3 linked regions of the Drosophila melanogaster genome follow. The protein of the gene in region 3 purifies or fractionates together with the protein of the main gene of each other region. This does not show direct contact. Each region holds a gene or a part of one and is shown on either strand. Other genes may lie near its edges.

What was found. The genes of interacting proteins can lie anywhere in the genome.
Region 1: the proteins of Syx18 (region 3) and koko purify together in Drosophila melanogaster (affinity purification with mass spectrometry, with the first as the bait; one large-scale study listed by BioGRID). This does not show direct contact.
Region 2: the proteins of Syx18 (region 3) and Sec22 purify together in Drosophila melanogaster (affinity purification with mass spectrometry, with the first as the bait; one large-scale study listed by BioGRID). This does not show direct contact.

Annotation. Positions count from the first base shown.
Region 1 is NT_033777.3:18,399,104-18,406,953, forward strand, and holds koko (kokopelli), read left to right. Parts: upstream 1-3,922; 5' UTR 3,923-3,963; intron 3,964-4,119; exon of another isoform or gene 4,120-4,416; 5' UTR 4,417-4,436; coding exon 4,437-4,519; intron 4,520-4,585; coding exon 4,586-4,730; intron 4,731-4,790; coding exon 4,791-5,342; 3' UTR 5,343-5,623; downstream 5,624-7,850. Other genes in the region: Vti1b (vesicle transport through interaction with t-SNAREs 1b), read left to right, coding at 689-847, 908-1,117; Wdr37 (WD repeat domain 37), read right to left, coding at 1,724-2,471, 2,529-3,090, 3,211-3,364; CG7685 (uncharacterized protein), read left to right, coding at 5,940-6,056, 6,117-6,322, 6,386-6,704.
Region 2 is NC_004354.4:802,439-810,427, reverse strand, and holds Sec22 (secretory 22), read right to left. Parts: upstream 4,353-7,989; 5' UTR 3,944-4,352; coding exon 3,863-3,943; intron 3,796-3,862; coding exon 3,686-3,795; intron 3,460-3,685; coding exon 3,158-3,459; intron 3,075-3,157; coding exon 2,926-3,074; 3' UTR 2,228-2,925; downstream 1-2,227. Other genes in the region: CG43867 (uncharacterized protein), read left to right, coding at 1-730; CG13358 (uncharacterized protein), read left to right, coding at 5,531-6,354, 6,426-6,507; CG13359 (uncharacterized protein), read left to right, coding at 7,002-7,989.
Region 3 is NT_033777.3:24,623,302-24,631,052, forward strand, and holds Syx18 (syntaxin 18), read right to left. Parts: upstream 2,262-7,751; 5' UTR 2,173-2,261; coding exon 1,174-2,172; intron 855-1,173; coding exon 666-854; 3' UTR 501-665; downstream 1-500. Other genes in the region: wsck, read right to left, coding at 4,075-5,361, 5,415-5,771, 5,834-6,565.

The DNA of each region.
Region 1 (7,850 bases), 6.2 Mb from region 3:
CGAATCTGAATCTGAATGGAGCGCAGCACACGTCTGCTCACCGCCAGCGATCGACTGCGTTTAAATTTGGCACTCGCTGCCGCGACTTCGGTTCGAAAATCTCGCGATCGCCTCGAAATGCCTCGCACTCTCTGTTACTCAGCACACACACCCTGTGAATTCAGGCGGCTCTCTCGGCGCGGGCATGCCAACTATGTATGATCGGTGACCGTTATCGCAAATCAGAAATCGACAAATACCCGTACTAAAGTCAAAATCCTCGAGTGCTACATGTGTCTACCAAAAAAATGGTCAGTTTCCAAAAACCTAATCACTCTTAGGATCACCCAATTAATCACCATTAATATGTGATATTTTTGCAGTAACTAGATGTGCTTGTTGATAGTGAGGAAGCCAATCTCAAAAAAAAACCAATTGAACTAACACTTCTTACAATTTAAACTTTTAATTAGAATTTAGAATATAAAATAATATTAAGCTAATTTGGTAACAGTTTCATTTTAAATTTCAACTGTTTTAAGTGCTGTAAAGTGCATAAAGTGTTAACAGGTGGCTCCACGCACAACGCGTTAGTACCTTACCAAATAGCGTTTTCACTGCACCGCTCACCACGGCCACACTCTGCCTTTGTTTTGTTTTGATATTCCCACTGCATCGCATTTAATTTATTAAAAGCTGTTACCAAATTATGTCCTACGCCGGCTATAGCCAGCTGCCCAGCGGCAGCGACCAGGAGCGCAGGCAGGCGCAGCTCGCGGCCAGCACCTACGACGTGCTACAGCGGACGACGGACAGTATCCAGCGATCCAACCAGATTGCCATCGAAACGGAGAACATGGGGGCGGAGGTAATTACCCAGATAGTAGCCATTAACAGGGCTAACTAATGCTCGCTTACGCATCAACAGGTACTCGGCGAACTGGGCGAGCAGAGGGAGTCGCTGCTACGCACCACGCGCCGCCTGGAGGACGCCGATCAGGATCTGTCCAAATCGAGGGTCATCATTCGGAAGTTGAGCAGGGAGGTGCTCTACAACAAGATCATCCTAATCCTGATTATCATTCTGGAGGTGGGCATACTCGTCGGCTTGCTGGTGCTGAAGTTCGCTCACCTGTGAGCCAATGCCATTCTATTCCAAAGTCGTAACCACCAAACAGGCGATGGACTATATATACCTATTAATCGTTACGAATTCTTTGTCCTAGTTAATAAGCTTATAAATGTATATACTCCACTAAAATGCACTTCCAATTCAAAAAGGTCAGTTTTAGGATATACCCAGCGATGAATCGGGTGGTTGATTATGTTTATTCATGTTGGCTAAAGCGTTAATGCCTTAGACGTCTATAATATGTATTATGGTAGTAAAACACAGATAAAATCGGGTCTGGACATCGGAAGCTCTGCACTCCGAAGAGTTTAGCCCAGTCCCAACGCATATACATACGTATGCTATAACAATGATAATATGTAGTTCGTGCAGCACGCTATGCCACGACTATTTGGCAAAAAGCAACGTTAATTACATTCAGTGGGCGACAACGAGATAGTAGAACATCCTGAACAATGTCTGCATAATACTTGATCTATGATAAACGGTTACATATATGTAAGTATGTGGGCATCGCTTTGGGGATGCTTCTTTGTTCGAGAGATGTTTGGGATTTCGCAGAGCTGCGCCTCCTCATTCCTTTGGTGCAGCAGCTCTCCGCTTCAGTTGCCTTCAATTGTCCTTCGGAAGAACGATGGACCAGCCGAAAACGCGGCGATCGAAGCCGCAGGAGAAGAGATCGCAGTCCAGCAGCGGCTCCTCCGCCCACGCTACAGACGACACCATCCGTCGGTGGCCCTGCCGACTGGTCCGTGGCAATCGGGCGACTCTCTGCCCGTTCAAATCGAACAGTCGGATCTGTCGATTGTCATGCGGTATGGCGATAATTCCACCAGTGGAGACCGCCAAACGATTGACCGAGGAATCCGTTCGAATGGTGGCCAAGGCGGATCGCATGTTGCGCAGCTCCCAGACCTTGATTGTACGATCATCTGATCCGGACACCACCTTGTCGTCGCGTGCGAACACACTGGACGTAACCGTTTCCGTGTGCCCTTGGAAGACGGAGACCGCTGGGATTGCCTCTCGGAAGTCCCATAGACGGAACGTAGTGTCCCTGGAAGCGGTGACCACCAGGCGCTGGGTGGGATGTGCCGACACGTGGGTGAGCTCGTGGTCGTGCCCAGTGAGCGGCTGCAGTGGCAGGCCAGTCTCCACGTCCCACAGGATGGCAGTCCGATCCCAGCTGCCCGTGATGATTTGATCCATCGAAGAGAGCCAATCGGCGGCCACCACGACTGAAAGATGACCGCCGGGGCCTGTGAACTCGCAGAGCGGAGTGCGTAAGGTGTCCACACGATCGCGATCTTCCACCTGCTCATCACTGTCGTCCAGTTCCTCCTCTGAAGAATGGCCCTTCCTGAAAATCATGCAACGATTATTGAACTACTATAAAATATATTGCAAAGTTACTCACTTGGGCACTTCCCAGTTGACGGCCGCCTGCCAGATGTGGGCAGTACCATCCCCGCTGCCGGTGAGCACAAGATCTCGCTGCTGATGGAACTTGATGGAGTTTACGGAGCCGGCGTGCCCTTGGTACTGCAAAAGGCACCTGGCGCTCTCCACGCCCCAGATGCAGGCCGTATGATCGGCGGAGGCGGTGCCAATGATGGGTTGTCCCGCCTTGGCGGCAACCTGCCAGATGCCATCCTTGTGGCCGCCGAATTCTCGGACCACCGTGCTGACCACTGTGGGCGCCTTAAAGCTGGACACAATGCGGCTGGTTTGGGCCTTGATCTTGTTGCTGGCCTTGGCTTTGCTGCCGCCGGTAGCGCTGCTTAGTTTGGCCTTCAAGCTCTTGTGTGTACTGGATGCTGCAGCCAGGAAGCTGCCCGCCACCTCATCCGTCTGGGTTGCAGGCGTGGCCAAAGCTGCGGATGAGGCCTGAGTGCTCATTGAACCTCCTGCTGCGGATCTGGCATCGGGTGGAATCAATGACTCCTTGGTGGTGGTGGCTATGTCTAGCTTCTCCTGCACTATAACAGAGAATAGGCTTTAATCATGCGTGCACTATACAAAATTTGACATATGTAAGCAATAAATATTAAAGTTTATGAACGAGACCTTAAGGAGTTGTGGATTATATAGCTACTTACGGGCCTGGTTCTCCAGATACAGCTGCTCGAACTCCCGCTCGATCTGGGCGAAGAGGACGTGCAGGCGTGCACGGAATGGTGCATCTTCCGGTACGGCGGCCACGTCCTCCGTCAAACTGGTGAGGCGCACAGCCCGTGTCTTGCTAGCCTTCATGCTTTTCTTTTCGCCTCTTTGTTGTGTATCTCGCAAGTGATTTTCTGAGCCGAGCTGGTCGGCGATATCCGTTTCCTGGTGGGCAGAGCGCCCGGGGGAATCCAATTAGTGTTCAGGGGTTGCAGACTCGCGCTCTATTGATCCATCTTCCGCTGCTGGCGATGCATTTGCCTCTTTGGCTGACTGGGGAACTGCTGTTGCACTTGGTTTTCGCAATGATAATATACTTATTGCAGGTGTTTTTGTGCGCGGGGGGAGCGGGCGGAACAGCTGGTGTGTGTATCGAGTGTTATCGATGTGCGATTATCGCACAGTCGGACTGTGGCACACTGAGAGCAAATTGAACAAATTAAAATAAAATAATTTTGAAATTGCAGTTTACATATTAAATATATTTATATCATAAAAACGAAAAATCCTGTAAAAATTAACTGAAAATTCATTATATGTTATGAATTAGTTTAGAAAAATTTTCAACAAAAACACATCTATAAAAATGTACAATTAACAAAGTTTTTTTTTTAGTGCACTTTGGTTTGAGTACTAGTGTTGAGAAACAATTAGTTAATTTTGCTGACTTTCAAATCTGACACGTGAAGGTAAATAAATTCAAATAGAAATGTAACTATGGATCAGCGCTTTCCTGTAATTATTTATTAGGGTTGATTATCTTGTATAACCCTTTGAAACGGAAGCATTATCCTTAATCAACACTGTGTACTTGAACAGCTGTTTGGCCCGTAGTTGTAGGTACTATTTTTGAAAACACCATTGGGAGTTCCCACAAGACAAACAAATCCGTGCACCGTTGTATTGGATTCCAATCGAACAGCTGACATACCTTCGGGCCCGTTAGTTTTCCCGATCGCCCTGCATATGATACCATATCTCCCATTACAGCGCTGCAGCCCAATCAAACCGGTTTGTCGCCTTTCGACTTTTCGGTGGTCTCAGTTCACATCCATTTCCCCAACCAGTCCAATTGCTTTTATCTTGCTCCTCGAGTGTTAACGAAATTGCTTAAATCCACCCACATTCATCCTTTCATTCAGTTCGGCCTGGGAGTAGCAGCATGAAAAACGTTTTGGATGTCATGTCGATGCAGCAGCACGTGGAGTTGAACAAGGCGCAGACCATGAAGCCCATCGACTATCGGTAAGTTGAATGATCCAATCTAAAGATACCACCAATATATACATATCTGTGCCATCTGTGCCGCAGCAAAATGAACAAACCCGGCGTGGTGCCGATGTACATCTTTGAGTGCGCTGCCAAGTTGAAAATGAAACCGCTGACGGCGGCCTGTGCGGCCATAGTGTTCCATCGCTTCTTCCGCGAGGTCAAGGCCAGCGACTACGATGAGTTCGTGAGTAATATATGCCCCCAAAACGACCCCATCTCATGAGAAACTTTCTGGAATCCACAGCTCATTGCCGCGGGCTCGCTGTACTTGGCTGGCAAAATTAAGGAAGACGAAAGTGTCAAGATACGCGATGTCATCAACGTGGCATACTGCACCCTTAACCGGGGCAATGATCCAGTCGACCTGAACGATGAGTACTGGTCGATGCGGGATGCCATTGTCCAGGCTGAGCTGCTCATCACGCGCACCCTGTGCTTCGATCTCAACATAGATCTGGCCCACAAGTACTTACTCCACTACATGAAGACCCTACAAGACTGGGTGGGCACTGAGGTGTGGAACTCGGTGCCCATTGCCAAGGCAGCCGCCTCGTATCTGCAAGACTTTCACCACAGCGCCAATATCCTCAAGTACAAGCCCACCCATGTGGCCATTGGGTGCCTGTCGCTGGCCCTCCAGACCTACGGCATCCAGGTGCCGCTAACCGACGAGTCCGACGAATCCGCCATGTGGTACAAGCCCTTGGTCAAGGACTTCACCCGAGAGAACCAGTGGGAGATCATCGAGAACGTGATCGAGGTCTACAAGAACGAGGGCTTCCTGAATGCCACCTAATCGCTGAGAGAGACTGCCAAAACCATTCCTTCTGCCATCTGAACTTATTTATTTTCCCCTCGCCACCTCATAAACCAATCTCAGATACTACTAGACGTACATATGCTCAAATGTCCAATGCATTTACATCATGCCCTTGCCAAAACAAATAAATTGACCGGTAATGAAATGCTTATGTGATCGACGGGCGAAAGTACATTTACCTATCAGCGAAGACGATAGATCTAAAGTTTACAACTTATTTATACACTGATTCAATAAACAATTGTTCTGTGAAAAATGATATTGTTAATGGGTCTTTGGAGTTGTGAAATGCTTTAAGATTCTGAGGAAAAGCAAAAAGGTGTTTGGCGCTTTTATTTCAATCAAATTCATTATACTTTTAAGCTGTTAAAAGTTTTACAAAAAAATATTACACTTTATCAAACAAATTTAAATAAATCGCTCTGTATTTGATTAAATTCCGGGATGGGTGGCAACCCTTAGCCCCAGCCCAGCAGTGTTGACTAACGCAGGCATGTACAAAAACAATGCTAGTTCGTAAACAAAACATATTTTTTATACATTACTTGGCCAGAGCGAAAAAACAAGGACAATATGCGTAAGACGTGGGTGAAGCGAGAGAATATATACTTCAAGCCCTTCTACAAGCAGAAGTCGAAGATGTTCCTGCTGCTGATCTTCCTGGTCGGAATTTCGTTCATCGCGTATCAGGTGAGAGTCTCGCAAGGATTTTCCTGTGCACGGTGTTTAATGTGTAAACAATAACGATAGGCCTTCTCGCTGAACCAGCTGCCCGGAGTGCCTGCTCCGTGGAATCTGCAGCAGATCAAGCGCAAGCACCAGCAGATGATGCAGTCCCTGGGCAGCAAACAGCGCGACGTGGACGATTTCGATGGCGGAGGCGCCGATGCAGTTGCTCCGGCAGGCGGGGAAACCTCACCTGTTGCGGGTCACGAGGATCCCATCAAGATTGTCAGGTGTGTAGTAGATGCATTGTTGCTGGCTTGGGAAAATTCCTCATCCTCGTCTTTATCCTTTAGGGGCACACGGCTCTTCGACTACGACGCCTACAAGCCCAACTTCGAGGGCAAGTTCCGGTGTCTGGACGGCTCCAAAGAGATCCCGTTCGACCACCTGAACGACAACTACTGCGACTGTGAGGAGGACGGCAGCGACGAGCCCAGCACGAATGCCTGCGCCAAGGGGCGATTCTACTGTCGCTACCAGAAGCGTCACATCACGGGCCGGGGCCTGGATATCTACGTGGCCAGCAGCCGCATTAATGACCACGTGTGCGACTGCTGCGACGGCAGCGATGAGTGGAGCACGGCGACCAAGTGTCCCAACGACTGTGCGTAGTCGCAGGCCGACGGGACCCCGTTCCCACTCCCATTCCTCTTCCATCTCCTCCACCTGTGCACCTAGGACACCAATCTCAAGGATGAAGATGTCGGGCGGCGCATCACAAGCGATATTTTTTGTACGAGTACAATAGAATTGTAATTTATTTTAAAATAAGTAGATTGAATAAAAGAAACGAATTCCAAGAAACACAATGTGGCCTGTTCCAGTTTTCACATTCAAAGAATCTGATGGATTTAATGTGTACAATTTGTTTAAAACTATGTTTAATTTGGTGCCAGAGGAGCAGCTGCAAGATTAGATCTTTGTGGACATGTGAAAAAAAGAAGCTGCCATTTTATCCATATATGCTTATTCATTTTATTACCAGACTCACAAAAATCAGTAGAATTTACATTGGGAATTCCTTTTTTGTTTTGTTTTCTTTTTTTTGCTCGACTTTCTCTGCGCGATTTTTGGTTTCGAATTCGCAGCGTTTTCATTTATAATGTTCAATTTACATCTACGACCGTCTGTAATTTTAGTTAATATGGTTCTTCTTGCCTAAAAATGTTTTGTGCAGTTTAATCCGTAAAATGTACATCGACAAACTCTAAAGCAATTTTGAACTGCAAATTCTACAAGGTACGAAATTTTGTGTGTAATTAATTTTTCCCTTATATGCACAGTACGTCTCACTGGATTTTCTCTTGGTTTGCTTTCTTGGCTGGCTTTCTTGTCTTGTTTTGGATGATAAGCGGAAGCGGTAATGATCTCCACATCGATATACATAATTAGTTTAAGGAACGCGCGCCATCGCATTTACAATTACTTCTCGGATCTGAATTGGCAAAATTCACTTTATTCACTTGCATTTGCATTGAGTACTTCTTCTTTGACTTGCCCAGCACAATCAGAGAAAACTACGTCGTCTATGCCTGGACGAGCTGATTGCTATATTGCTATCGACGCTCTCGTCTCACAAATTTGATACTTTGCCCCCAGTTTGCGATGGAAACTGGGGATCAACCTAAGTAAAGTACATTTGTTGTTGTGGCTTGCTTTTTGCCAGTTGCAACTTAAAGTTAGCTTACGTACGCTAAGTAATACTTAATCAGAGGGCTTTGTGGGTGTGTGTGATTTAGATTTTAGGCTGGTTAGATT
Region 2 (7,989 bases), on a different chromosome or scaffold from region 3:
CTCCAAGTGGATGCTCCTTAAGGGCCGCTCGACCTTGGATTGTGTGCGCATTTATCTCACGTGCTGCCGGAAGTGGCCATATTTCGGAGCTTGCTTGTTTCAGGCGAAGCCCAGACAGAGTCCAGAATCCAACACCGCCTCGGGAGCTACCCCGGTAGCTTGGTTGGCTGTCGCAGAAGATGCTCTCAATGTCCTCGAGCTGTCCACAATGGCTCCGGTGGCCAGGTATCCGTATAGCTCCGTTATGACCTTTGGCGGCTGCCAGGACGACTTTATGCTAGTGGTTTCCCACGATGACGGCGGAGGCGGTGAGCAAAAGCTTCTCTTCGCAATGAGCAAGCCGAAAATATTGGAAATCACACTGCTGATAGCAGACTACATGAATGCGCTGGGACACACGGTGCCCGGGACTCCGCAGATGAACTCCCTGACGAGGAATGGGTCGCATCGCTCGCTAAGAACCTCCCAGCGGCCAAACTTGGGTGGTGGCTCAGCGGTGGCCACCGGGTTCTCTACAAATGCCACCACAACGGCCCACAATACGCTCAATTCGCATGCGACACACACGCTTAACTCCAACCATTCGCACACGCTGAGCAGCTCCCATCACGCCGGCGGGGGAAGTCAACCGGGCACTCTGAGCTCGGGTCATCATCAGCACCACCATATCCAGCAGCACCACCAGCCTGATATCCTGAAGAGCACACCGGATCACCAGAGGATTAAATAGAGAAGAGTGGGATTGGAGGATCTCAAGAAGAACGATGGTTCCCTGCACGTTGAGGATTACGGAAAAGATAATCAAAAAGAGGAAATTAGAGAGTAGCGAAGAAGGATTAAAGTAGAGCTAAAGGATCACACATTGTACATAAAGGTGGAAAATCACAGCTAAACAGACATATACAACTAACAGATACATATGCACCGGCCTAGTGGCTACAAATATGAAACTAAAGATAGAATGATAGAAAGATATAAAGATAGACGGATGGATAGCGATAGCGGTAAAAATACGACTTAGCCTAATAGGCCTGGGATGGACCTTCTTCTCCTTGCGCACCACTCACTAAAGTTATTTTCTAAGCTAACGACGGTACCCGTACTCTAAACCTACTTTGTAAACCGCAGCAGCAGGCATATATATATAAATATATACTATATATTATTTTTTTTTGATAGTCATAAGCCCAGCGTACCCGAAAGTGCATGAGGGTATGCGTAGAAACGAAAACAGAACAAGAATCTCAAAGTTCAGATTGTTCCTGACTTATTTATTTATTTTTGATTTTTCATAGTTCAAACCAACATACAAGTAAAGGCAATGCAAAACACACCTATAAAAATGATATGTTTGAGTGTTATTGCTCTTCGATGCTTTTTAATGAATCTCAATTTGTAATTGTCCCTCCACGCGCAAAACTGCCTTCTGAATTTGTATAGATGTCGGAGCCAAGAACGAGAAAAATATAGTTATACAAAACGAAGCCAAAAAAAACAAAACAAGCGAACTATAGTAGCATTAGCAGAATCCAATTGAGAAAAGCAAATATTTTTTAAAGAATTTTGAGCCTAGTGCGGGCTATCAACCAAGCATACCCATCTATTGTATATCTAAATAGTTCCAGTTACGCCCCGACCCGCCCCGCCACGCCCGACTCGTATGGTTTTCGCATAAACTAAAACTTCGATTTTATAGACCGCGTAATTTATTTTCGATCCCACTCACCACCAGAGCTTCAGCAGAACCACAGCCTAGTACACGGAAGCCAGAGGAGGTTGCAAAATTCGGTAGATGATTGCTCTTCTCCCCAGTTAATTAATTATTGCAGACCATTTCACACATCCCCCCCCACAAAGCATATGCATTCATATGTAGTTATGTAGAGAGCGTATATATGTATTCGGATTCGATATTTCACAAAACTATACACACCAAATTACGATATAGCAGTGTATATGGCAACAGCGCATTTTTTTCCTAATTGTAAAGATTTGATATTACAAATTTATATGCGCTGAGACGCAACGAAAACGGACATTTAGCGGGACGATATGAGACCGAATGGGATCGGGATCGGATCAGATCGAGAAATTCATTGAGAAGAATCGTAATTCGAAGGCTTGCAAGTGGATATAAACTATAAAGGCGAATGTATCACATCACACTCAGTGAATCGAAAAATATATAAAGGGAAATTATCGATTAAAACTAAACCAAAAATCAGATGCAGTTTCTATCTTTCGGGCTTGGGTAGTGCATCGAACACAGTTTTGCCTTCTCTTTATTAAACAATATAAATTTATTTATTTGCCTTAATTTTACACATATAAATTGCCTAAAACTGTTATTGTTTATTTCCCTTTCTCTTCTTTTCTTTTCTTTCGGTTCGCTTGTTATCTTTTCTTTTTCTTTTGTTTTTTGCGGTGTTTTTGCAGCTTGTATCAAGCACTCCGCCGGATTCGGATTCGCTATGCAGCGATCCATCTACAATCTAGACATTTATACACACACACACGGATCGACGCTCATAATTTACAGATTTGGGTCGTAGTCAACCGACTTGGCTCAAAGGTCGTCTAAACTAAACCCGATTCGTAATCAAATATTTAGAAAACCTGCGCAACGGAAGCGCGAGGCGAAATGAAATGGGAGTTAATAATTAATGGAATCCCAGACCGTAAATAACGCAAAGGTAAGTTAATATTAGAAGTAAAACAATCCTCGGGAGCGATGCGTATGCTGGTAGGGGGTTTCGCTATTCACTTTTCGCTTGCCTATGATTCATAGATATGAATGAATATGGTGTGGTTGGTGGCGTGGAGTACAGGTGCACGCGTAATCTAAATGTCTTTTGGTCTTGCGTCCTTGACGCTTGACTCCAACAAAGAACGCGCCGCTCCGAGTGGCCATGGAACTGCTTGATATTACAGAACCCAGAAATACATGATGAACACTAGAAGTATCATGCCCAAGGCCATCGCCTTCACGTACATGGACTTTCGGTTGAGCAGCTTGGCGTCCTTCTTGTACTTCTGTGACATCATCGATAGGTTCTGGGTCTTGGTGTCGAGTTCTGGAAGGAAAAACGGGGTGAACGTCAGTTGAATCCCACAATCACGCGTAGATAGTCGCGTAGATAGTAGTAGTAGTAGTTACCCGCCAGCACTGTGCCACGTTGGAGCACGTCGTCAATGTTTTGCACCATGATGCGCTGCACATCCTGCAGCTGTGTGTTGATGTTGCTGATGTTGCGTCTGCGGTCCGTCAACTGTTTTTTCGCCTTCTGTATGTACACGTCAAACTCGATGAATGCGTATGGGCGAGTCACTGAGTTTACTCGCCGGCCGTAGTTAGCATGGAACTCCTGGGCCAGGTCCTCCAGGTAATTGAAGGCCAGTCGCTTTGAGTACATCTTGTCCACCATCACCAGGTAGCAGACGTCGTTCTCGATTAGGTAGCTGCAGGGAAAATGTGGAATATTTTAATTGGGGCGCCCATTGCATCTTCTGGCTTTCGCAAGCAGTGAGCGTTTAATTTAACTTCGTATCAAATTACATCTATACTCTTTGTTCCGAAACTAAATCAACTGTCACTGACTACCCGCGGAGCCGAGAAACCTTTGTACATGGTGTGATTTTAATGGTCTATGCCCTGGCAAAGGTGCCACGAATTGGGGCTACTCACTGGAATAGGTAGGGTCCGGTCTCGATACTGCATCGAGCCGGGGAGTGGGTACCCAGCTTGCGGAAGAGCATCTTAGCCTGGTTTTGGTAGTCCAGTATGCTGCGTCCGCTCTGAAAGTGAAAGCGACTTAGTTGCGGGAGCGGAACGGAATGCAACGTATTAGAAAGTGATGCACACGGGTACCTGCTCGTCATCCTGCATGGTCCCCACCAGAGGAAGGCCATCGATGACCCTGGCTATCATGGTCAGCAGCGCCATGGCTTCTGCTGTTCCTGGTTACGATTGCTCGCGGAACTACGGGGCTGCGTCTCAAGTCTTCTTGGCCACGGCTGCACTCTGCCGTCGCCTCCTTCCACTGGCTGCTACTTATTCCGATGTGGATCCGCTGCAGTCCAGTCACCAGTGTGTGAAGTTTGTGTCCGGTCGTCCTCTTCCACTTCTTGGATTTCACAACTCAGCCGATCGGTCGGTGCTTGCCGCAGTGCTCCTGCGATGCCCGGGACTTCCAAATGGACTCTGCCTCGAATCGGGAACGTTCGCTGCTACCATGAAAACTGTGTTGCAACGTCGCGGCGGGCGGGTGTCTGGGATTGGAGTGGATTGGAGGTTTCTGTGGATGTTTGTTGCAATGTAACCACGTCACCGGTATGTCCGTGTAAATATACCGAATGGTGCGAGGCATACCGAATACCGCAGAGTATCTCAGAGTACCGACCGCCAACGGTCACATTAACGGAAGTCCATTATACCATTCGTTTCTTCGTTTCTTTAAATGCACGATATGGAAATACGCTTTCAACTCGTTTTCAAGCCAGCATGCCCCTGAAAATGGCGCTTTCGAGTTTCCGGGCTTTCCCGCAAAGCTATTTTCCCAGGTCTACAGCTTTGACAGCTTGCGCTCTGCTGTAATGTGGAGTTTGCTTTTTGTATGCGTGTGTTGTACACAGGATGCGGATTAAGGATCCCCAGAAGTTCAATAGAAGTACAATACTTCGATTCACCCATGAACCTGGCGCCCAGATGCATTGTTCTATAGCTGTTTTGAGTCCCAATCCGACCAATTGGTCTTTGGTATTTTTATTTTTTATATTGGCAATCGAGTTGCGAATATATTATTTCAAATATTTAAATATAAATAAATATTTATTTAAATTATTAACCAACATAAATCGAAATCCCTGGCACGTCGCGCCGCTTTCGCAGACTCAAATCCGCTGGCGCAGATGCCGGAAGTGGGTTGGACCCCCCAAAAGTCGATGACCAAGCCCAACCGGTTCGCCCGCGAAGACCATCCTCTGCATGGACATCCACATCCATCCCCAGAAGGAAAAGTGGTTCGCCCGCGAAACCGGACTTGGACTTGAGGCAGGGACCCAACTATATGGACTACCTGTGGTACTTGGCGATGGAGCTGCGTGCGAATGTGCGTTTCAAGCGACCACCGGAAAAATCTTTGCACTGGGAAAATAATTCATATCGAATGCGACTTATTCATCTATGTATATTATGAATTGAAGCCCTGCAAGCGAATGCGAATAACCATTCCCATTTCTGCTCATACCGAAGAATGCTAAGATATACACAAGTTTGTGATCAAAGCGGGAAAGCTTATGACATTATTTAAAATGCTTGTACTGTGATCTTAAATCGAATGCATTTCAATTAACTCTGAGCCCATCGAGGACTGCGGTCAACCTATTTTCTCATCGTGTGATCGGATCACCCGCAGCGGAATGCGTGCGCTTCCGTTTTGCTCGGCTTGGCCTCCTTCCTCGTTCCGTTGAAAGCAGGTATGTATATATAAGCCACTGCTCCACCTAGAGGCTCCACAATACAAAGTCAGTCATGGCCGGGTCAGTTCGTGCGACGCTCCTGGGTCTCCTCATGCAGATCCTGTGCAATGGGCTGGCTGGTCAGCAGCTGCTCCTCACACGTCCCCAAAGGAGCCTGTTCGAGACTCCGCTGGGTCACGTAGAGCAAGTGGAACAAGTGCCCTCTTTAGGCTGGAATAGTGTTGGTAGTGGACTCGGAGTGGGCGAGTGGCCCTACAGCCCCGTTGGTCTCGGCCACATGAGCAAGGATGAGCTGCTGACCCTGCTGGAGGCCTGGAAGGAGGTCGAGGAGGAATCGGCCACAACAACGACTGCGTCGCCAGCGGATGCCAGCACACGTAGACCTCCTCCGCCTCCACTGCCACCACCACCACCTCCTCCGCCACGACCCACACCCATACCAGTCTCCGTTGCAATCCCGTCACCGGCTGTTCCGCCCTCCGGCACTCCCATTACAGTGCGGCTCCCAGCCTTTGTGCCTGTGCGTCTGGCTGCCGTGTTTACTCCGCTTGCCGGTGGACAAGCTGATAGTGCTGTTCCGTCTGCCAACGGAGTCGGAGGGGCTGGAGGAGATGATTTGTCCACCGATGACGTGACAGATGATGACGGCGTCTCTACCCGGCTCTTTCGCTTTTTGCCCATGCCAGGAGCTCGAACGAGACCGCAATCCAATTCACAGCCCAGGCAGCAATTTGTGGTGAGGAACACCCTGGACAGCGTGGATGCGGGCACTGCCCCTGTCAGGCAGCAGATTAAACCGGAAGTCCAGCCCAAGGCGACTGCTCCGCCTTCCATTCCCAAGTTCCCTGGCCACCCAACTCCCTTCTTCCGTCCCAGGTAAGCAGAAACGAAAGCGCTAGAGGTGGTCATCTGGGCAGCCGGCTCATTTCCCTCCATTTTTGCTCTAGATTTGGTGTGCCACCGAGTCTGGCCAACGCTCGATTCGAGCTGGTGCCCTCTTCCCAAATCATCGGCGACTGGCGGGTGTGAGCCTGTGCATCACTTGACTGACCAAAACGGAGTACCTTCCGGCGAACCAACCAGGATCGAGCTTTTGAAGGAGGCTGTCTTGCTAGGCTGTTTCCACTGTTGCTTATGTATTTTATTTTTTATTGAATAATAATTTTTTTTTTTTTTTTTGTGTCCAAATAGAATATGCAATCAGTCATAGATTAGCGACATACTAACTGCTTTCGAATTGAAGTAGGCACTTTTTCTGCTCCAATGGCCATGTGAAGCCATATATGTACATCTATTTGTATGTCCTCTGAAATCGCTCAGCTTTTAAAACAAAGAGCAGTCTGAAGAGTACATATAAAGATAGCGATCAGCCCGAGTATTTAGCCATAACAATTTATAGTATTTTTCGAATCCTAAGATTGGAATATTCAGTTCAATCGAATATGTATGCAGTTTCCCCTCACACAGTTTTATAAGTTGGCCTGAAGTTTTTGTACAAAAAAATATAAATTTTATATTTAGAAATGAAATGCTCTGCATCTTTTAATGCCCTCTGCGACGTGGGAACGCCGCGTCCGAACTTGCAGCGGTTAATTCCCTATGTCGAGCCGCAACAGGACGACGAGGAGGATATGGTAGTGTGGTGCCGGTCAAATCTGGATTTGGCCTGCTCGCTCAGCGAGATGCGCATACGCTGTCCAGAGCACTTCGATGTCGCAACCGTCGTGGGGGTAAATTCGCATACCGGAAAACTAATCACCCACTTTAATCACCGGAAACTGGGGGATGTGGACCTGGCGCCTCACGCGTTGCTTAGCCGGCGAGACAAGTTCATGGACATTTGCCAGAAACAAGTAATGACGAGTCAGGGCTGCTTGGCGTCAGAGGGAACACCAATCCCCGCCGACCTGGAGGTCACTTGGCAGAGTCATAGCATCATTGACTGCCTTGCTCTCCGCAAGGTGCGTGCAGAGATGAATTTAGCTGATCAGAAGGCGGCCAAGAATCTTGTGGATCGCGTTGAGGTGCACCACAAGACTTTGCAGACGGAGGAGGCGGAGCGAAGGAAATTGATTATTGACAAGGCAAATTCTGCGAGGAACTTGACTATTGACAAGGCAAACTCTGCGAGGATCTTGGCTATTGACAAGGCAACCTCCGCTAGGAAATTGACTATTGACAACTCAACCTCCGCGGGGACATTGACTATAGACAAGGCAACCAACGCGAGGAAATTGACTATTGACAAGGGAACCTCCGCGAGGAAATTGACTATTGACAAGGCAACCTCCGCGAGGAAATTGACTATTGACAAGGCAACCTCCGCGAGGAAAATGACTATTGACAAGGCAAAATCCACGAGGAACTTGACCATTGACAATGCAACCTCCGCGAGGAAATTGACTATTGAGAAGGCAACCTCCGCGAGGAAAATGACTATTGACAAGGCAAAATCCACGAGGAACTTGACCATTGACAATGCAACCTCCGCGAGGAAATTGACTATTGAGA
Region 3 (7,751 bases):
CCATTGGAGAGCCAATCATTAAGTAACTCTTAACTCTTATTCTAAACAATATGAAAAGAAAACAAAAGAACCAGCAGACTGCATTGAATGCAATCCCATATTGCACTAAAAACAAAAGAACACCTAGCGACTAAGCCAAGGATACACTCCCTCAGACACAAATCTTAAGGCTACAAAATATTAGACCTAAGCTAGTTAGAATCTAGACATTCATGTAATGAAACCAACTGAAAGAAATACGCAAAGGTTAACTTTAGGCCTTAGACATATATATACATATACATACTTATTGCTGATTTCCGTTCCCAGTTAGATATATATATATATTTTTTTGAAGAGCGTTTAATGAAAATAATATGACTAAGGACCTAGATATAAACAATGTACCAAGCAACACACTAAAACACATTTTGGTGTAGAATTTAAATTAACTACTGAGACATGTGTGAGCAAGGCGCTCAAATCGATTTTAGTTCCATATTGTTGTACGAGGTTTCATTGAATTGAAACAAGGCAGTTGAATAGCCTAAACAAATATTTTCCTTTTATTTATAAATTATGTAATAAACAAAATATGCTTTTAGTGCGATCAAACGATAACAAAACATTTTTGCATTTATCATTCCCTAAATTGGGTGGGTTACACATAAATTTGGGGACTTCACTTAATCGTAGTACCAGTCCAAGAAGAGCAGGGAGAACGACATGACCAGCAGGAAGAACAGCGACCACACGCGTAGTCCTGCATTTCGTTGAGTGGCCTGCCGGATTTGCTCGTTGGCGTCCTTGACGTTTTCCGTGGTGCCCACGACGGCACTAACTATCCTGTCGATATTGTGCTGTTGCATGGCGACCTACAAAAGGGAAAGGGAAATTTAAGAGGATTAAATGAGATTAGGACGTGGATCTATCTGGATCTAGTTAATAATTAATTGCATGCTAATAAGAGCCCGGCTTATACATCCATTGTAATCGCGAAGGATGTGGATTTTAGCGAAGCCAATTAATATTTTTAATTGAAGGATTAAGTCGACAAACATATGGGCAGCCACTTAAACCCACTAAGTATTCTTGGCAATATGGAGCAATATGTTCTCACCAAAATTAAACTAAAGATATCGTTGTTAAGAACAGCAAGGATTCCTTGGGACTTGTGTTATCATGCCATCTTACCTTTTCGGTGAAAATGTCCTGCAGTTGGGCAATGTCTACCACGTTCTTTTCGATCTGCTCCACCTCCTCGGAGACGCCCTGCAGAAAGTTGTAGATGTGTACGTTCTCCGCCTCGAAGAGCTGCACATCCTCGGCGCTTAGGGGATCGTCATCGTCGGCCTCCTGCTGCTGCTGGAGCTCCTCATCCAGAGCCATCTTGGAGGATGAGTTGTTCAGATCCGATCTGTTGGCTTTGCTTCGTTTGCGCGTACGCGGTTTGTGTTGATTGGCCTGATTGGCTTCCTTGCCCTTCTCGCCATCGTGATCGTCCACCTCGTCGCCTTCCTCGTCTTCATCCCAGTCGCCCCAGGCGTCGTTATTCCAGTCATTGTCGGCGGACTCGTCGTGGTTGCCATTTGCTTGTGAAGATGACTTCGTGGCTTCGCTGTCATCGTTGCTGACCTGGCGCCTGCCCAGCTTGCCACTGTTGCTGCCCGCCGGACGCACTGGTATCTTCTTTTTGTCCGCCGCCAGCTTGAGCAGCCTATAGGTTTCCAGTTCGTGTTGCACACGGTACTTCTTTTGGTCCAGATAGATCTGTTCCACGCTGTGCAAATAGCTGACCAGCAGGTCCAGCACGGCGTCGATGTGCTGACGCTCCTGCGGCTTCCGCTTGGCGCTCTTCCAATCGCTGCGCATCTTGGCCAGGTGCTGCGTGTAAAAGGTGACGAACTTCTCCGACTCGCGATCAATCAGATCCCGCTGCGCGTCGGTCATGTGTGCGGCGGACTTGAGGTGCTGGCCAATGCGCATGTAGGCGGTGCGGTTCTCGATCAGCACATTGCGCAGCGAAGTGATCTTGTTGCACACCTCCTTGGCCTGCTTGGCGAAGTCATCCTTTGGGCCAATTGGTCCAGTTTTTGTCGGCACTGTGGCGGGCTTGGCCTTTCCGGCCAGCTCGGCCTTGCGCTGCAGGCGCACCGTCATTACGCTGGCCTTGAAGCTCTGGGTGATGTCCATAGCTATTTGCTATAACTAAGTTTGAAATATTTAACTTTTAAATCCACATCATCGGTCCAACACAATGTGGCCGTTCGTTTAACCGTTTGCAGTGTGACCTTATGATGACCGTTAATATATACCAGTTAGCTAATACTAAAAATAGCTAAATGTTATCGATAAGCATTTCAGTGTTGGCTAATGAATTTTCACCCCCACACTTATAGGTGATTTTTCGCCCAACGGTGTACGGTCACACCATTGGCAGAGCACAAACAAAATACGTACTTTTCTGCTTCCAAAGTGTCGAAAAATCGCAGCGCAGTGAAGTCCAGTGTCCGATGTAAATGGTTAAGTAAAGTGAGTAACAAAGGCCGACACAGAAGCCGCATTATTTGCGCAGTTAGCCGACCATTTGGTAGTGTGCGTGAGTGGCTCCGTCGCAGTGCGTTGGTGTGCGTGTGTGAGCAACCAGTTTCCTTGGATTCCTCATAATCTCCATGTGTGTATATGTAACAAAAACAATAACAATTTAACCAGGCGAATGCAAAACACTCGCAAAGTTGGCCAATACCGGATGAACCTCATCATCATCATCATCTTCCACATATTCATGAGCATGGTCGGCAGTCGAAGCCCCTGAATTCCGATAGCAGCCATTCAGCTCGATTTATTAATAATAATTGCCCATTTGCTCGGAATGTATACACATTTCAGTGACTTCAATTGTTCGTCGTCATTTCACCTTGAATTGCGGGCAAGGTAAGCGTCCAAAAGTCGCTATGGATATCGTTGCGCTTCATTTACCGTATTTACCATATACTCTATAAGAAAGTCGCTCTAAATTCCGGGTGAGCCATGTGCTTTGGGTTTTTTGGTGGATCCAATAGTTACACGTCGACAAGAGAAACAATGGCTTATCTTCTTTGGGAAGGATCCCGAGATAAGCTTGTACATAGTGAGAAATTTTAAGTACTGATAACGAATTTTGAACATTTCATTTGAAAAGTGCATATCGGAAGAATATACACAGATTTAGATTTTTTTTTTTTTTTTGCTATGTAGCTTCATTATAAGATGATTGTCCAAACCAATGGAATATACATACATAAAGTGCCCTACTATTTCGGATGACTAATAATGCATGTAACCGCATCTAGGCTGCTGCCAACAATTTCCCTAATTAATTCTTAAACAACATAACAAACAATAGATGCAATGCAAGACCTTTAAACTGATTAATCGTCAATTTTGATCCACTCACACTTAAGCAACACCGCCGTTTATTTTCTATTATTAATTGCTGCTCGCCAGCGATCAAAGTTTCGCATTCGCGGCTCTCTCCCTTGGTTTTTTTTTTGCTTTTAGTTTTCGCTTTTGTCTGGTTTGTGCAACATCAGCGATCGGCGGGGGAATCACAGTCGCTGGTCTGTTGGTAGATCCATTCGCTATGGATCCCTCAATTTATTACACAATTTTGGGGGCCAGACTGTCAGTAGTCTTTTATCTATCGCGCTCTCCATCGAGCACGTTCGCTTGAACTTTGTTTCGCGTGGGGGAAAGTCGATTCCTTTCTTTCGGGTTGTAGATAAGCAATTAACTACCTTATAGATCTGATAAGCTCTGGCATAGAACACTCTTTTATTTGTAGGAAGTTTGTGCGTATTAACAATAAACATCGAATTGTGTTTCATAAATGCTCACTTCTAATATTATATGGATAATAACAATTTATGAGCTTTATTAAATCAATGTGTAAATTCTAAAACAAATTATTTTCTCTTCAGAACACTGAAAGTGAACTCATCTAAAATCGAAATGAAGTGATGTTTTCTCTTAGCAGCAGTGACTCAGAACCGAAATCTACTCTATGCGAATGTGGTCTCTCGCTGACTAAAGCTAATTATACTATTCGGCTGCACCTCAGCCCATCGTAGCAACGGCTTCCAGTTGCGGCAGGTACGGAGGCAGGGTGTCTAGTCCGCCGGCCACTCGATCAAAGCTGAGGGCATGACGCGGTGAGGTCATCAGCTGACGTACTCCGAAGGCCACGTCCTCACAGCTGCTCCGCTCGCTCGGCTCCAGCTGCCAGCAGTTGAGCAGCAGCTGGTAGAGATCCCCGTAGACGTAGGCTGGCTGCGCCGGACGCACTGCAGCCCGAATGGCCTCTAGAAGCTGTTGGTTACTTGCCACTGCATTGGCATAGGGAGTACCGCCAAGGGCACAGCATTCCCACGCCACGCAGGCCAGGGACCAGACATCAGAACGGGTGGAATGGTGATGCTGATGGCGCAGCACCTCCGGGGCCAGCCACCGGTTGTGGTCTGGCTGCTGGCGAGCAATGTTCATGTAGGGCAGCGGTCCAAAGACGCTCAGTTTTAGCTTGAAATCGCTGGTAACGAAGACGCTGTGCGAGCAGAGCTGTCGATGCACCACCTGGCAGCTGGATAGATAATTCATGGCACTGGCAAGCTCGTAGATCCACTGCAGCACTAGCTGCTCAGAGAGGGAAGTCAAGCGTGGCGACGGTGCCATCAGGCGACTCTCCACCAGTTTTCTCTTTAGACTCATGCGTTGCTGCTCGAAGATTAGGTAGAACCAATCGGGACTTGCTGATACTCCATAGAAATCTAGCAAATGCTCCTGGCGCTTCAATTGAGACAACTGACGTAGTTCTCTCAGCAACTGTGCCTGTGTAGTACCATTCAGATCGTCCAGACAGAGCACGTGCAGGGTGCAATCTCTGGCAAAATCGTTTGTGGAAACCTTTCCGGTTATAATCTCACCAAAGCGTCCGTCTCCGATCACATCGTTCACATTTAGTCGTAGTGCATTCCTTGGTATCCGTTCGTATCCTTCCACCAACTGTTGCAACTGCTGCTTGAAGTTTTCCGGCGAGTGTGGCAGTGGATCGTCCTCCACAAGGTATCCGTTATTTTCCCGCTCGATTATGGGCGTTTGCAGCGTCATCTCGTGCGTATTGCCACCAGTCAATCGTCGCCCGCGGCAGGTCTTGTAGCGCAGATAGAAGTAGGCAATAAGACTGAGCAGGAGGCAGGAGCCGAAGATCACACAGGTGACAGCTAGGGCAACCACCGAGGATTGACCCTTCTCAAAGGTGGCGTAACTAAAGTCGTCTAGGGATGTCACATGCTGGTCGTGAGTTCCACGACTGTACATCGTCTTGGTAACGCCCTCCAGTGTGCTCACCTAGAATATAAATAGTTACAGAGATATTCATTCGAATTTAATGCATTACTCACCAATCCGAGACTGATGTGGACATGTGCATCTGGTTGATCCAACGGCTTATTGGTAAATCGTCCGTAACGCTTGCCATCGCCGACCACAAAGCGCCGGGTGCGATTGTCCTCCGGTCGATCGTAGTCCAATTCGGCGGCTATGTAGTAGGGCACTCCATCTTGTTGAGCCTGCTGCCAGCTGCCCAGGAGCTGGGCATCGAATGGCTGACTCAGGGCGTTGTCCACGTATTCCACGATGACGAGCAGTTTGCTCAGCGGTCCATTGTCATTCCGAATGGGCGACAACTCGATGGTTACAGTGCGGTCAGTCCGGCTGAGGATTTTCGGCTGTGCTGGCACGGGACTTGGAAGGCCCACCTGAAATTTGGAGTAGTAATGTTATTGGTTAGGATTCTCGTTAGAATTCAAGCATTACCAACCTCCGTGGTGGCTTCTATCGAGGCCTGTCCGCATTCAGATTGACCTACTTGGGCATCCTTGCACATGGCTCTCACGGATATGTTGTACAGCGTGGCGGGATGCAAGTCTGTGAGTTCAAACTGCGTTTCCGTGCTCTGCACCATAAACTCAGGCTGCGGGAAGGCGGGCAACGAGGAGTAGGTCTTCAGGACCTGAGCTTTGATCAGGAAGTTGTCCAGTAGCTGGTTGGGAAGCACTGCCTCCGCGCCGCCGGCCAGGAGTAGTTTCCTCGCCTCGTACGCATTCCAGCTAAGGGTCAGGCTGTTCTCCGTTTTGTTCGAGATTCTTAGATGATGCGGACCCGGTTGTTTGGTCAGTATGGTGGAGTAGTACGAGTGCACACCAACTCCGCCACAATACTGCGCTTTGTTGGCCAGGCAGCGAGTGTTGCAGAGCTGTTCATCCTGTTGCTCCTGCGGCTCCAGGACATTTGCACAGAAGCACTTCTCGGAGGCCAGCACGGCATAGTGGTGACCCTGATGCTCGCAGATCTCGATGCAGGTCTGCGGTGTCTTGGCGTACACCGATTCATGGAGAAGATCCGTTCGTGCCGTGTAGCAACCAACGTAGTAGTAGGCAGGTGCTTCCTGGGGGACAGCTGCTCCTAGCGGAAGGCCCAAGCACATGGCCACGAGGCAGCTCGAAAGCCAAATCGGAATTGGGCGGTGTCCGCTGTGTGAACCGCATTCCATGGCTTGCAAATCTCGAATGAGCAGCTAAGCTCCTGCACGCCGGATGACTGATATCCGCCTGGGCTTTCTGTTGCTTCTTTGGGGGCTAGGACTGCCAATTAAACACTTTTCACGGGCAGCCAATTTAGGCAAATTAAAAACTTTTATTCTTTTTCCCCGCTCAACATTTTCCAAGCGCTTCTGCTGCTGCTTCTTCTTCCACTGCCGTTGTTGTTGCTCTCGGCAACCGTGTTTCCATTTCCAGTTGACTAATCGCTCTGCCGACGTCGACGCAGGCCGCACAACTGTTGCTGTTACTCTCCAACACCTTTGTTTACATCGCCCGCTAGTTGCAAAAGCTGCAAGTGTAAGTGGGACAACTGGTGTGTTGCGAAGATCGTCCGTATCTGGCGGCACCGCTCACACACCTGCTGGACAAGCCTGGTTCCAAACGGCATTGCCAGATGTGATTGTTATTTTGAATTTTAAATTCCCATTCAGCGCGCCAAAGTCTCGGACAACAGTTGGTCTTAATTAAGTGGCAATGTGTTAATTGGACAGACGCGATTTTGCTAACGTTGCAGCTGCCGCCGGACCAATTGCATTACCCACCTCCCTTCCACCACGGTGTCTATTCCTATTTTGCCATGTGGCGACGGCAAATGAGAGTTGATCGGAAAAGAGAGAGTACCGCTTCGCTCTCTTTTTGAGGTAGCCGATTCATTGGTGACTTGCGTGTTGTGCTTGCAGTTTGATTTGGTTGACGGTCGCGCTGGTCGTGTATTTATATTCATATTCCCATTCCGCATCCGAATCGGACTCAATTAGACGCAAGCATAACTTTTATGTGGCCTGTATAATCGGGAGTGTGGCATAATTCCCCACCGATCTCTTGTCTTAATGTGGTATGTTCTTCACTTGTTTTGGCTGCGTTTCTAATTAGAATTCAAGTGGTCAAACTGCGTAGCGCGACAAAAGTTGTCGACGTCATCACAACGCAGCTAACGAAATTAATTTTAATGTGTTCCCTTCCTACGGCTTACATACGAACAGTCAACTGTGCTGAATTCGTTTAACCCGATTTGGAAACCCTTTGAGTACACATTCGCCATTTGGTGTGATAAAACCCAAAAGGAACAAATGAATAAGTGATCGTGTTGCAAAAAAACAACACATCAATCAAGAACTTTAATAAGGTCAATAAAAT